Kluyveromyces lactis: one gene and its partners. The protein of the gene in region 2 purifies or fractionates together with the protein of the main gene of each other region. This does not show direct contact. Links are inferred from orthologs where the notes say so. Each region holds a gene or a part of one and is shown on either strand. Other genes may lie near its edges.

The links. Proteins that work in one complex are often made in the same cells at the same time.
Region 1: the proteins of BFR2 (region 2) and NOP14 purify together in Saccharomyces cerevisiae (affinity purification with mass spectrometry; 3 studies listed by BioGRID). This does not show direct contact. The link is inferred for Kluyveromyces lactis from reciprocal best matches to the Saccharomyces cerevisiae genes BFR2 and NOP14.
Region 3: the proteins of BFR2 (region 2) and ESF1 purify together in Saccharomyces cerevisiae (affinity purification with mass spectrometry; 3 studies listed by BioGRID). This does not show direct contact. The link is inferred for Kluyveromyces lactis from reciprocal best matches to the Saccharomyces cerevisiae genes BFR2 and ESF1.

The regions. Positions count from the first base shown.
Region 1 is NC_006039.1:1,426,134-1,431,608, forward strand, and holds NOP14 (snoRNA-binding rRNA-processing protein NOP14), read left to right. Parts: upstream 1-1,617; coding exon 1,618-4,131; downstream 4,132-5,475. Other genes in the region: proteasome regulatory particle lid subunit RPN5, read right to left, coding at 1-1,061; autophagy protein ATG9, read right to left, coding at 4,173-5,475. UniProt on the Saccharomyces cerevisiae protein: Involved in nucleolar processing of pre-18S ribosomal RNA. Has a role in the nuclear export of 40S pre-ribosomal subunit to the cytoplasm.
Region 2 is NC_006039.1:886,974-891,941, forward strand, and holds BFR2 (rRNA-processing protein BFR2), read right to left. Parts: upstream 2,731-4,968; coding exon 1,150-2,730; downstream 1-1,149. Other genes in the region: ERC1 (Erc1p), read left to right, coding at 1-1,042; ATP5 (F1F0 ATP synthase subunit 5), read left to right, coding at 3,631-4,251. UniProt on the Saccharomyces cerevisiae protein: Involved in endoplasmic reticulum to Golgi transport. Involved in a protein-transport step blocked by brefeldin A, which disrupts the Golgi apparatus and its incoming protein flux. May also be involved for mass growth or cell proliferation.
Region 3 is NC_006041.1:1,888,610-1,893,755, reverse strand, and holds ESF1 (pre-rRNA-processing protein ESF1), read right to left. Parts: upstream 3,443-5,146; coding exon 1,559-3,442; downstream 1-1,558. Other genes in the region: CDC40 (Cdc40p), read right to left, coding at 1-1,232; RTC5 (Rtc5p), read left to right, coding at 3,953-5,146. UniProt on the Saccharomyces cerevisiae protein: Involved in the 18S rRNA synthesis. Required for the early cleavages at sites A0, A1 and A2.

The DNA.
Region 1 (5,475 bases), about 540 kb from region 2:
GTATAGTATTTGGAAATGACACGCAAGTTGTGCTCTATGATTCTCTTATGAAGATCTTCCCAGTGTGATTCATTAGACCCGAATGCAACGCCGTCCTGGTTCAAAATTTCTTTGTAGGTATCTTGTACTATTGGCCATCTCATTAGTTCTGCTGTGGTGAAGAGTTTTACCAAGGATTCTTGGGATGGCAATTTCTTTAGATTGTTGTCCAACTGAACCTTGTGAATGAGATCATTTTGTAGGTTATCATATGGCGATAGAATCAAGAAGTATACAACCCTGGATAGAGCTGCCTTCCATTGAATTTCATCTGCCTTCACAGAATCAGAGTTGTAGATTTCTTGGTAGTACTGAGCCACTTCTAAGTAATCTTTCTTATGCAAGCCAATCTTTACCAAAAGGTTATAATACTCTAATTTCAATGCTGCATACTTTTCATTCTTGAAAGTCTTCTTTAATATTTTTCTGGACAACACAGTGGCTTGAGAGTAATCACCTTTTAGGATACTTAATTCCATTTGTTCAAGGATAAATTCAATCTTTTCATACATCTCCATGGACCCATACGTTTCCACTTGCAATTCACATAACAAGTCAGTGGCCTCATCGATCTTGTTCTCAGATCTTCTGATATGAACCAAATCTCTAGTGACTCTAGCTCTTTCAACTTCCACGAAAATCTTGTTCTCAGTCACGGTTCTTATCGTCTCAATAGTTTTAATCTTGGTGTCCAAATCCTTCAGGTCTTCCAAATATTTCATCACAGACTGAATCATATACTGCACAGATAACTTCAATTGACCATGCTTTTTTGATAGAAGCATGATTTGGTCGTTAAGTAGGTCCCATTGGTCTGCTGCGACCAAAACATCTACGATCTTAGTCAAGACTCTTTTCGAAGATGCTAAATCAGAAGATTGTCTAGTCTTCTTTTCCAACACTAACAATTGATCCAAAGCACTGGAATAATCATTCTTGGCCAAAATCTCAAGCTTAGGAAATTCAGCGTCCAAGATTTCGGTATAATCTTTCTCTGCCTTAATTGGAGCGTCTCTGGACATATTTTACGATATAATTTATACTCTTTTCTCTTTGCTCTGCCTGCTCAACTTAAACCGAAATGCAATACAATCAATTTCTCTGTATCCGTCCTGTATTCAAACCACACAAACTTACAGTCTCAGAACCGACACTGTAACCTGCTGTACCTCTGTTCGCGGTTATTTCGTATATATTTGCCACCTGTAACTGATTTCCTTTATTTCTCATAATGCCTTTAAAATGACAAGCTACGGTAAAAGCTTCCTCAGTAACAGTAACAATCGAATCTTAGAAAAACGTGACTTCATCATCGTTCGTAATGATTGTGCTGGATATTCGGGTAACCTTGATTTGATTTTATTGTGCGGGTAACTATTTTCTTTCTTTTCGGTGAAAAAGCATTAAAAGTTTGACAGAAGATGAATTGAGCGATGAGATGAGATGAGATGGGATTAAATCAAAGGCTGTCAGAAGGTTCAGTATCTTGGCCGATTGTATTGAATTGACTTGCATCATCAGTTGTGTTTAGACCATTCTTCTTGTCTGTGGGCAAATAGGTTACAAAGTCGAATAATAATGGGTGGTTCACAGTTGAAGAACTTGAAGGCCGCTTTAAAGGCTAATGGGTTGACTGGTCAGACCAATGTCAAGAAGAGTTCTAAGAAGAAGGGCAAATCTCCCAGGGAGTTTGATAGAGAAGAAAGACAGAAGACTATTGAAAGAATTAGGGAACAGTTTAATCCGTTTGATGTGAAAACAAATCGTAATAAAAAGGTTGGTGTGATGAGGGAATCTGCAGCTAAACTTGCAGTAGGTAAGCCGGGAATCACTAAACAAGCCGGTGAAGATCAACGTAAAATGTTCTACGAAGCCAAGAAGTCCAGCAAGAACAGAAGCGGTGGTGTCTTAGATAAACGTTTTGGTGAAAAGGATAAGAATTTGACTTCCGAGGAGATCATGTTGGAACGTTTCACAAAGGAAAGACAACGTCAATCTTCGACGAAAAGATCGTTATTCAATTTAGACGATAGCGATGGTGGTGAGGATGAAAACGTGTACGGTGAAAAGTTGACTCATTATGGTAAGTCTCTTTCCTTGGAAGATGATTTCGATGAAGGTGATTTGGGGTTACAGCATTCTGATTCGGAGGACTTCAGGTTGAAACAAGCTGGTAAAAGAAATATGGCGGATCAATACGGAGATGAAGGGTTAGGTGATGACGCTTTGCAAGAGCCAGCAAGAAAGAAGACTAAGGCAGAAGTCATGCAAGAGGTCATTGCTAAATCCAAATTTTACAAACATGAAAGACAAAAGGCGCAGGAGAAATTGGTCCAAGATATCGAAGGCCTTGATGACGATTTCGAAAGCATTATGTCTGAATTAAGGACGTTACCAAAGACTAAACCTTCTCAAACTGAGATTTCGACCTCCACAGACATCGCTCCAGATTATGATATCAAGGTGAAAGAGTTAGTCTTGGAGAAAAGAGCTGCCCCTGCAGATAGAACTAAAACAGATGAAGAGATTAAGAAAGAATATGAGGACAAACAAAAGGAATTGGAGCAGAAAAGGCTTGATCGTATGAACGGTATTTTCAACATTGAAGATCAAAAAGATGCTGGTGTTGAAGATTTGGGAGAAGAGTTTTGGGAAGATAGCGACTCTGAGGAGGGCGAATATGGTGAATATATCAAAGCAATTCCTGACTCGGATGACGACGTTGATTTCGAGAAGGATAACAATGATGACAATGAATACGACGCTACATCAAATGGTAGACCTTCAGCAAGAGTTATACCTTCTGTTCCATGTCCTCAAATTCACGATGACTTACTAAATTTCTTGAAATCTTATCCTATCGAAGAGCATCCATCTTTAGTTAAAAGAATAGTAAAAACATACCAACCAAAATTGGCTGAGGGAAACAAAGAAAAATTGGGCAAATTCACTGCTGTTTTGCTCAGACATATACTTTTCTTGGCTGAAGAAGATTACTCGGTTAATGTGAAAGAAATTGCATCATTACAAAACGAACTAGTAAGCATTCTAAAGACTCTTTCAGAAAAGTTTACCATTCCACTATCAGAGGATTGTAGAAATATCATCTCAGATATTCAGACTAGATTCAAAGAATCCCAGTTCTATGGACTATCTCCATCAGATTTGGTATTTTTCTCTGTTGTTGGTATGTTGTTCTCCACTTCGGATCACTATCATTTAGTCATTACTCCCTGTCTGCTTCTAATTGCAGAGTTTTTGGAACAAATTAGGTTCAATTCTCTTCAAAAATTAATATTTGGTTCGATACTGGTTAGAATCGCCATCCAGTATCAACGTATAAGCAAGCGTTATATTCCTGAGTTAACATACTTCTTGCAGACATCTTTGCGTTCTCTAATACCGAGTACCAAAGGGGAAACATTAGAAAACAAAGAAAAACAGGAGGACAATTTATCAATAGTAGGCTCGGATATTAACTGGTCCAAGGTCGCCCCTTCTTTAGAATTACACTCATTATTTTCCGAGGATCTAGAAAAGCAAGAATCTATCAAACTGTCCGTGCTGGTCAACAATCTAGAATCAATTGATTGGTGCATAACGAACATCTGGAAAGATCTTACTGCCTTCCCAGAAATCATTAATCCCTTCAAAGACATACTAAACGTGGCTGCCGAAGTATATCCTGGTACTTCTAAACCAAAACAATTAGTGGAAAAGATCGAAAAGCTATTGAAATTCCAAGAACGTCTGCCATTGACGTTGCAACAGCATAAACCACTGGCGATTCCATCAAATACGCCTAAATTCGAAGAGAACTTCAACCCAGATAAGAAGTCGTATGATCCAGATAAGACCAGAAGTGAGTTGAACAAGATGAAGGCGCAATTGAAGAAGGAACGTAAGTTCACTATGAAAGAAATACGTAAAGACACTAGATTCGAGGCAAGACAAGGCATTGAAGAAAAGAAGAAGGAGTACGCCGATTACCATTCCAAGATGGCACGTATTGTCAATCAAATCAGTACTGAAGAAGGTGCTGAGAAAAACAAATATGAGCGTGAAAAGAAGCTCCGTAATACCAAACGTTAACTGCATATTATATAATCTATACTCAACATTAATAAACTTTATCATCGATTGCGATCTGATTTTTTGTAATATTGGTTTAATAGGCCCATAACACCATTTCCCGCCTTCAGTTCGTCAGCATTATCAGCAATATCATCCTTAAAAAGGGTAGATTTGTTGATAAGTGAACCACTCAATGAGCCTAATTCAAGGTCCGAACTACGATCCGGGAATCTCTTCACCCTTGATCGATTAAGATTTCTCTTACGATTGGAGTTTTTACCTAAGGCAAATTGTGTCTTCCAGGAATAGTCTTTAGTAGAGCTGTATGGGTGATAAGATGGCTCGATTGGAGAAGCTGGTAGCTGATTTTTGCCCACTGCATTGCCTGCATTCTTGTAATCGTCAACGAAGTACATATATGACTGAAGCATTTTGTTAACACCCTCATCCGATTCGGTTTCACTATCATCCTGTTCTGCTTGGGAAAACATTCTCTTAGTTTGTTTTTTGGCCTTGGTACCTTTGTCAATTTTAGTAGCTTCAAACATTGCGTACTTACACACGTATCCCAACCCCTCCTCATAGACGGTACATTCTCTAAAAAAATCTATTATTCTTTCTGAATTCTTTGGCAGGGAGAACCATAATATGAAGGGAGTGATTATAATGCTGACTAGTTCCCTTAGTAATAATGTGATTCTCAAGTTGTAAAGCCTACAAAACTCATTTTTGATGTCCTCTGTATGATATTTCCCCTTCCATTCCTTTGGAGCGTAGTGTGTATACGACACAAGTTCCTCCAGTGTTTCCTCTGGTTTGAGAACCGTATACTCATCGTTGATAGAACTGTGACAAACTGCCCATAAAGTACCAAAAACAGTCATGTAAAATAAAACAGTTCTGTCAGGTGTAATTTCGAAGTTTAAGAAATTGTCTGGATCAAATATTGTCAGAATACCCAAGATTGCCACAAAAGAACCGGAAACAAACTGTATAAAGCTTAAGGTCAAGCTTAATAATGTATTGGGAAATTGATTGACATAATTGTCCGCTATTATCATGCTCAATCTCATTCTTTTTTGGAAAATATGATATAATTCATTGTATTCCCTAAATTTCCATTCAGCAATAGGAGTATATTGCCGAGAACCTATTGATCCTGGGGAGGTTTTGTACTCATTAAAATATCTGAAGAAGTTCAATAGAACAAAGTATGTTACTAAGAATGGGGATAAGATAATGTTCAAGAATCCAGCAAGAACAAACCTCTTCTTTAACTCCTCTCCCAGGTATTCTCTCTGGCTTTCTCTTAAGAAAGCTTGCTTTAAATAGCCCTTCTCATTGAATGCAAAACCTAAAATA
Region 2 (4,968 bases):
ACAACTTTTCTTGAGAATAATATCGTTTGGGTTGCCAGGGCTGATTTTTTTCGAAACTGGTAAGAGATTCCTTCAATCACAGGGCCATTTCCAAGCAGGAACATACTCCTTGTTGATTACAGTTCCAGTTAATATTATTCTAGTGTATTCATTTACTCGTTACATTGGATATGCTGGTGCTCCTCTAGGTATCGCCATATCGCACTGGTTTATGGCCTTAATGCTACTGGTTTATTGCAAATTTTGGAGAAAGGAAACTCTGATTTGTTGGTATCCCATGTTCTCTTCAATGTTCCACTTTAAAAGATTATTTTGCAGCTGGAAACCTATGTGGAATTTGGCATTTCCTGGTTTACTCATGATTGAAGCAGAGTACCTTTCTTTCGAAGTATTGACTATTATGTCTACATATCTCGGTGTCAAGGCTATAGCAGCACAATCAGTCGTATCGAACATAGGATCTTTGATATATCAAATCCCATTCGCAATGGGTTGCGTAGTTTCCACAAGGGTTGCTAATTATGTTGGGACAGAATCGGTCAACAACGCGAAGATCTGTATTAATACGTCGTACGTGATAGCAGCGTTTGTAGGGATTGCGAATTGTTGTTTGATTTTAACAGGTGACAAGAATTTAGCGTATTTGTTCACTAAAGACAAAGAGGTCGTTGAGTTATATCGTCATGTCGCTCCAATTTTGGCAGTTAACCAATTATATGATGCATTCACAACTTTTAGCGCTGCGATATTACGTGCACAAGGACGGCAGCAAGTTGGCAGCCTGTTAAATATCATAGCATACTATTTTATCGCATTGCCTTTAAGTGGATGGCTAACTTTTGGTAAATTTCAGTTGGGATTAAAAGGGCTTTGGTACGGATGCGGTACCGGGATCTTATTACTGGCGTTTGCTTTGAGCTATTGTGTTTTCAATTCCAATTGGGAAAACATAGTGGAAGAATGCCATAGAAGAGAAAAAGAAGAAAATGAGGTTGACTTAGAGAGTATGGCAAGTAACATGAGCAATATTATCGATGTTTGATTTGTCGATGTCAGTTTGTTGGACATTTTGAATGCCGTGTACATATTTTAATTATAATAATAAACAATAGATGAAAAATAAATACAAGTTGAAGGTCGAACTCCAAATTATCCGAAAATTTGAATATCGTCATTTTTGATCTCTTCGTCTTCCTCGTTGTGCATCGTGTCAGCTTCCAATTCATCGTCTTCATTGAAGTTGATCTTTTGACCTAATAAACCAGCAAAGAATTCATCAATTTGCTCATCCGACCATTTATACCCAGTATTAACTGATGCTTCATAATTGGCAATTGGTTCTTGAATAGAGTAATTTAGTTTACGACCCTTTGAAGCCTTGGTGTCGATGTTTTTCTTGAGCTTGTTTTCAGAGCGAGAAGTGATGGCCAAAGTAACACCATTGGATTGTTGAGAGTTAGATATTTTTTTCTCAACAAGATCATTCAACAAAACTCTGTAAAAATCTTCGTCATCATAGATATATGGGTTTTGGGTAAAATCTAATGCATTGTTATCCTTCCTTCTTGGATCGTAATTCTTTGGAATATCCAAATTATTTTCTTCTTCGATGTCTCCTTCTACGTTTTCCTCCAGTTGCAATTCTTTTAGTAGACCTTTTTGTAAATCTTCATCAAACAACAAAGGTTTAGTATTGCTTCTATTGAGTTTTGTCCTTTTAAGTAATCTTGGCATATCAGCAAGTTGGTTATCCACTTGTACATCAGCTGACTGGTTGATCGCTTTAAACTTGGAGGCTTGCAGAAGAGATTTTCCTGATGATGCAGAAACTTTTGCTGACCATTTGTTAAGTACGGCAGAACGGTATGATTTTAAATCAGAATCCAATGTTACAGTTTCATGTACTAGTTCCTTAAAACTTCTCTTTTTGCTGTTATCGAAGTCAGAAGGGTTCTCAGATTGGTTTATGTGATCACCGATTTGGAATTTATGCCTTACTGTAACACACTGGGTCAAAACTTTCTCTAAAACTTTGAAAGTACTAGTTAGCAATTTGGAGTTATTTTCATCTAGAAGTTCATCCCAAGATTGTTGAGAAAGTGGTAACTGGTTTGAAGCGGATAATGCTTTTTGCAACTTAATTCTAGAGTCTAGAATTTTATCGAAGAATTTATTCTGTTGTAAGATGGCATAACCTTTGGAAGCATCTCTCTGAGCGGAATGTGCTAAATTATTAATCACTTGTTTAGTTTGCGTCTGTACTATCTTGGCCAATTTCTCTTTCTTCATCGCAGTCTCCTCATCTTCCTCTCTATCTTTCTCTATTTCTGACTCGGAAGTGGCTTCAGATTCGGATACATCTTCTGAATCGCTTCTAAAGGATACTGCATCACTCTCTTCAGATCCGGATTCAGCTTCAGACTCACTTTCTCCTTGTTCAGGAGCGTCCATTTCTTCGTCATTGAACAGTTCTGCTCTAGACCCTTTGCTCCCGACGTATTTCTTATCCTTTACGGCCAATCCTTGATCGACCACATTTCTAAGTTTTGACTTTCCTACTGCCACATAATGCTGTTTCTTCAACTCTTCTTCGCTCTCATCGCCAGAACTAACATCTGAATCGGACCCACCATGTTGAAATACACCTTCATCATTCTCAATGTCGAAATCTTCAACTTGTGGTTTATTCGCAATGTCTGCGATTTGTTCGGCCAAAGACTTTTTACCCATTTAATCTGCGTGTATTTTACGTGTACTTCACCGTCCTCACTTACAACTCACTATTGAGTACAGCTGATTTATCCATATAAGAGTCTCTCATCTCATCTCATCTCGTCTCATCTCTCAAACATCAACTTTCTTGAATTTTTCAACTACAAAAAAGAAACTCCAGATTACCTTTTCGGATCTTCAAAAAGAAGAGGAAAATATATAGATCACGTGCTATTATTAAATCACGTGATTGTAAGATAGCGATTCTTAGTCTCAAACTCTCGATGCACCAAATATCCAATACAAATTACTTTTAAGAAGCCTCATAGCGTCTATTAAGGTCAAATATATCTATTAAAAGTGAAAGCATAGTGTTTAATTTCCACGTGACTCGCAACCAATGAAAACACGTCATCGTTTCCTACGACTACTGAGGAACTTAGATCGTGTTTTTTTTTTTTTTTTTTGGACCTCTTTGGCCGGAACAAGAACACAAGAGCAGAAACGAAACAGAGACAAAGAAGAACACATAGGAGGGAGGATCCGATCAAAAACAGAGAAAGTTTTGAAAAAATATAGGTAAAGGAAGGAAAAAAAATTGAAAATTTATTGAACTTTCAATATTTCCACACCTTTAAGAAATAAATTTGTAATTTACAGGAAAAGAAGCTTTCGTTCTACGTTAGCTTATTTGTATTTTTTAAGTGTATTTGCTATTTTGTTAGTGATTCTGCATTGATCAGATTAAGACAAGTCTCTCTTTTCCGATTAGGTGTGTGTTTTGTTATTGCCATTGTACCAAACCTTATCTTAAGCTTTAAACTTCATTTAATCTATTGAGCAAGTTTTCTTCCAATTGTTTGAATAACCATAAAATCATTGAATTATTGAATCAAAGAGACCACTATATACAGAGTCATGTTTTCCAGAGTATTTGTTCGTTCTATGGCAGCTTCTGCCAAGGCTGGTGTTAAGCCTCCAGTGCAATTGTTCGGTTTGGATGGTACCTATGCCACTGCATTGTTCACTGCTGCCTCAAAGACCACTTCCGTTGAAGCTGCTGCTTCCTCATTGAATGCTTTGAAGGAAACTGTTGCCAAGGACACCAAGTTGACCAGCATTTTGGAAAACCCAGCCTTGTCTGCTGAAGATAGAAACATTGTTGTTGACACTTTGTCCAAGAAAATCAATTTGGATCAATCCGTTCAAAACTTGTTGAAGGTTTTGGCTGAAAACAACAGATTATCCTTGTTAGAACATGTCACTTCCCAATTCTCCAAGTTGACTGATGCTTACCATGGTCTTGTGCAAGCGACTGTTACCACTGCTCAACCTTTGGACTCTAAGTTGTTCAAGAGAGTGGAAAAGGCCTTGGCTGCTTCCTCTTTGGTTGGTAAGGGTAAGTCTTTGAAATTGGAGAACGTTGTCAAGCCTGAAATCCAAGGTGGTTTAATCGTTGAAGTTTCCGACAGAACCGTCGATTTGTCAATTGCTTCCAGAATCAACAAGTTGAACCAAGTTCTAAGAGAAGCTATTTAAACGATATCCCAAAACCTATAAATCAATTATATGAACGAGGAAAATATATCATGAATTTCATGTATGGGGTATCTTCAATTTTATTTCCCTTCTCAAGGGAGAAATATGTGTTCTATAAACTACACACAGTGAATAGAACGTGATTAATAAACGATTCACATCTGAACTATGATTTTATATTTCAACGATACTTCTTTTTTTTTTCTCTCACGATTTCATGATGACTTGACGTCCACTTTTTACCGATACAAGTAACTTTAAAACATTATTAAACTATTAACATTCTTCGCGCTTCGTGCCAAAAAAATTTTATTACGATCGTATATGTATAGAGCAAATACACAACGAAAAGATTCAAAAGTCGATTCTTTAATCCTTAGTCGTCTCATTGGATTGCTTTGTTTACTTAAACCAACCATTTTCGAGTCAGTTTAAATACAAACTCATAAATAGATGTTGAAATAAAGTATAACTTTCAGAACACTATTCAATTTAGTATAATGAATCGATTAAGGATAGAGTGGATGCAGAAAAAGATTGAGTTCTTTAAACCTCATTACAAAAATTAACTAACTTCATTACAAAATCTGAAAGAAAATGTGTAAAACGAATAAGGGGTGGGTTCTAACGCCAGTAGTAAAGTAAATAGTAATACTGATAATCACAATTATAAGGATGCTAATAAGCATATGTGATCACAAGAAAATGACGGTGATT
Region 3 (5,146 bases), on a different chromosome or scaffold from region 2:
TGAGGATTCCATTCAATACAGGTTACTGGCAGGTTATTTGAAAATGGCTTAAATTTCTTTAACAATTTGGTAGTTTTCCAATCCCAGATGAACGTCTGACCTTTAGAGTCTCCAGATGCAATGTATTGGCCATCAGGAGAAAATGCAAAATGAATACCATAACCTGTAGTATTATGACCTTTGAATGTCTTGTTTGGGTGTCTTTTATACTTTGGTAACATTGAGTACGTATAGATGGTGTTGTCCATACTTTGTGTACAGAAAGACTGACCCTGTGGATTAATATCGATCCATGGCATAGAATGTTGTGCTGTGCCACTGATTTGTTTAATAGGAATATTGATTCGGTTCTCCCAAATTCTGACCGTTTTATCTTCTGACGACGAGATTAACTTCTTACCATCAGGGAAGTACTTTAGTGCCAAAATAGAACCCTGATGATGATCATATTTCTGTACTTCCCCATGGTTTTCTGATAGCCTCAAGTCATAGTGCCGTATTTCGGAGTTGGATAATCCTACCACTAGTTGGTTCTTGTCTTTTGGGTGGAATGTAATACAGTTCGGTACAGAGTTGAAACGCAATCTTTTATCAATTATACCTTTTTCGGTGTTCCAGATCTTAACCCATTTATCAAATGATGCACTGGCAAAAGAATGTCCATTATCTGTAAAGTTCAAATCCTTTATAGTCATAGAGTGACCTTCATACGTTCTTAATAGTTCTCTCTCATGATAAAAGTCCCATAGTTTTATTATGTTGTCGTTACCGCCTGAAAGTAAGAGATGTCCTGTTTTCGGTATGAATCGTAATGATGTAGTACCATTCTTATGCCCATAGTATTCTGCTATCTTGGTTTTCGGAAGGAAGCACCTGAATGATAGTGGTTCTTTCTTGAATTCTAATGGAATATCTACTGGGGGGTGTAAAATGCATCTTCCCAGATAGTCTTTTTCAGTACTGCCTACAAATTTCGTTCTTTCAAGTGATTGTGATGCCACTGCATCCTCATCACCACCTAAATCTAAGGAATTAGAAGCATTTGAATCCTTTGATAATTGTTCGATCTCATCGTCACTAGATCCTTGCCATTTTGCCCATGGTCCTTTCCCGTTCCTCCTAAGTCTTTTGGACTTCAATTCAGCCTTTGATGTTTTTAACGATCTCTTAGGCACAGCTACAGATGAGCCATCATCACTACTCTCACTTTCATAACCCTGTACCAGCCCCATTATTCCCTGGATATTATGGCAGTGGCAGAGTCTATCTAGTAAGTTTATCGGTTTGTCCGTGTATTACCTACAATTTTAGATAATCTTTAGAAAGATGAACCTATTTCATATAATGTGATAATGTGCACTTTTTCTTTTTGTTCACACACAGAATATGACGTACAAATCTGGATAAATAAGGAAATGACTTAAAGTTACAGACCATGCCATGATACAGTCGCATGATTAAGTGAAATGATGTATTTATGCTTTAATCAAATGCTGAATATATACATATAAGATGTGGACGTCTTTGGGTTGATATAAAGTGTCCACAAGTTTGCAAATTAGTGTTTTGTTCTTTTGTTCTTGGCCTTAAGTTTTTCAACTAAACCGCCGATCTTATTTATGTCTTTACTATGTTCAGTATTTGCAATTTCGTGGTTACGCTTTTTGCCCCTAGATTTTTTGCTTGAACGTACTGTACGTTCCTTTAAAATCTTCTCCATAGCTGGTGTCTTCTTGAACTCTGGTTGAGTAGGATCAATCGCGAAATCGTGATCTTCAAAGACCTCTTTAAATCTTGGATCATTAACGTCTGGAGTGAATTCATCATCCACAATCTTCTCCTTGTTTTGATACTTGGCCTTTTTGGATTTTTCCTTCTCAGATTTGAGAATCTCATTCATGTTGAAGTGTGCCTTGTTGTTAATTGTTGATTCACCCTCATTTTCATCTAGCATTAAGAGCTCTAACTCTCCCTTTTTCTTATCGTCATCGATGCTGTGAGAAGTATCTTTCTTCTTCTTAAGGTTCTCCTTTAATTTGGCTTCTGATTCCTTCTTAAGCTCCTTGACTCTGTCCTTTCTCTTCTTACGTCTTTCTTTTTCTTTACGTCTAATCTTATCAATGGTGCTTTCCTCTTCGTTATCATTGGTATCTTGTTGGCCAGACTCATCCAGGCCTGGAGTGAAAGTTATTTCCATATCAGCCTCATTATCGTCTTCATCTTCCTTTTGATCAAATAGTGACTTTTGCCCCACTTTTACGGAATCCATTACTAAAGCCTTGAGTTTATTTTTAACTTGATCATCATGCTCAACTTCAGATTCTTCACTATCGGAGGCTAAATAAGCTTTAAAGTCCATTTCTTCAATTTCTTTTTGAGTGAATGCTCTTTTAGATATTTCCACACGGTCTGCAGGAGTTTCATCCCATGTAAGCTTTACCTTGGAATGCTGAAGGGCATCTGTACTGAATTGTGCCGGCTTGTAATTTTTTGGAAGCGAGGTACATTCATCACGAGGATCATCATCCATTTCCATACCATCAGGCACATACCTTAAATCAAAGACATTGGCTGTAGATTCATATTCTGTGCCATCACAGTTTTGATAGATTGATTCGGCTGTCCTAATGTCGCTGCAGTAAACCACGGCATAATAGTATCTTAGACGTTCCAATTGGTAACGACGAAGTGCTTTAGAATCATAGTCCTCTGCGTCTCCTTCCTCATAAATTGATTCGACATTAATCTCATCATCATCTTTATCATTCTTCTTGGATTTCTTTGACTGGAATAATTCTTTTGGAGGACCTTCGATCTCTTCACGTTGCATCCTTTCTTTACCAAATTCACTTGGATATATGGCAATTTTTTGAATCTCTCCTCCCTTAGGCACGAAAGACTTAAATGTGACAAACAAATCAGCAGATTTGACATGATCCCAATCCAGGTTCACTACAGCCAACGTATTTGTGGCATTTCCACTAGCAGGTTTGGACTCTTCTAGTTCGATTTCTTCTGATTCAATGTCACTGTCCCCAGATTCTTCTTCGGATTCAGAGGAGGACTCTTCATCAGAAGAAGAAACGTAATCAGCAGGAGGTTCACCACGAGCTCTATCAACAGATTTTGCATGAACAGCAGCTTCAGCTTCTTGATCATCGCTGCTTTCGGATGAATTAGACTCATCCTCCTTGTCCTCCGGCTTTTCCTTGGTAAAATAACGATCAAAATCCTTTACATCCTTGTTAGCATCCACAATTTTTCTACCATATTTATCAACTTTTGCTTTACGTCTGACTTCTAGATCTTGTTTACTGAATCTATCATCCAATTTGATCTTAAAGTTCTTGGATTTAGTTGACCTAAACTTAGGATCATTATGAATCCCAGAAAATCTTGGATCTTCAGTGATCTTCTCCTTTTTCTCCCCTTTCGAATTCATCCTTTAGTATACTAATATGACTCTAAATTGTTCACTTAGTTGATTTCGTTGGCACGATACCGAAACTAGATGTGCATAAGGTTTAAAATCTTGAACTTACTGATTAACTAGTAGGTGTCGATGAGATGAGATGAGATGAGGTTGGCATAATTTGAAAAGAAAAAAAAAAAACTCTAAAATCAAAAAGAAAAAAAATAATGTTGGTGAACTTCGGTCACGTGAAAAGAGCCAAATACAGATGTAATCGAGCCGTAAAGAGCAATTACAGGTCGGAAGAACTATATGTTTTCACTTTCATATACCATGTATACAGGCTGGCTCTAGTCTACCTTGTCAGGAATTTCTTGCTCCCAACCATTTTCTTATATGTTAACATTTTGTTTCTTTGTGTTAGTACGTAGTCTCCTCTTTTTACATTAAGGTATATTTAAGGATTTACTCTTACACATACTCTGAAAAGGTGCTAAGAAGGAAAGCCATAAGGATAACTGTCACAATAATGTATGCAAAATGGGCCAATCAACTTCTAAAGAGCATGAAAATGCTAGGACAAATGAATCTAAACTAAAAGGAGAATCTTTAATGGATTTTTTCAATGACAGATGCTTAAAACAATTAACTACTGCTGAACTAATTTCGTTCAAGAACAATATTCCTGAGGGCAAAGAACTAAACGATTATGTCGAGGTTTCAGATATTAGCAGAATGTATTATATCCCGAAAGATAGTGCTGTAATGTTATCGGTATTTATGAATATGTTTCATACTCTAGCGAACTTTCCACTTCTACAAGATTCCTACGAAAAGGTTACTTTCAAAACCTTGTTAAAGGCCACGCTATTACTAGTCAAGGAAAGAGCCATCAAGTACACCGATTGGAAAAAGTACAATGATTTGAAAATGCTATTTATTACGCTCTCTTTGGAAAAGAATATCAAAGCTGAACCTCTCATGGACTCTTCGGCTCTATCTGATTGTAAGGATTGGAAAGGGGTCATTAGATCTTATAACGGAACTGATTTTGATGAATTGAAAGTAAATGCAAATAATCTTCTTCACTTTTTGGCATTGATATTGGCTCTTTCTCGCTGCTGCATTTTGAACAATTGTAAAATTGACAATGATGTTTTGGCGAAGAGCTTAGAGGACTTCAAACATCAAGCTCTTAATATTGTACGCACAATGAACCCCGAGATTATATCAATGTCAGACTGTTTGGATTCATCAATCACATATACCCAATTTTCCATGGCCGTTAATGATGTTGCCCCTAATCTTTTAAATCCCTTGAAAATGCTAATGGAACATGTTCTTTATATGGATAGAGATCTCGTAGACGCGGACGTTCTTCAACCAATCTCAAATCCTACTAAAATTGTAAATGAATCTGAGCTATCGCAGTTAGCAACTTTTTTACCGAAGGAGATTGTTTTCTCCAGGTTCCAGAAATTATATGTTGGAAGGGAATCGGGCTTTTCTATGAGATCTTTCCAATCTAAGGTCTTCAAGTGGATGGCACCTACGATATTATTCGTAGAGGGTATGAGAATTCGTGACGAGGACGATGAAGATGGCGATGCTTATGCCGTGAAAAATCCAAGGTATAGAAACTTTCTGCAAGAATATGGTAAGTTAAAAAGTGAAGATCAACATTTGGATACGTTAAGTAAGAAAAAACGAAAATTGTTATTTGCTGTTTGTATT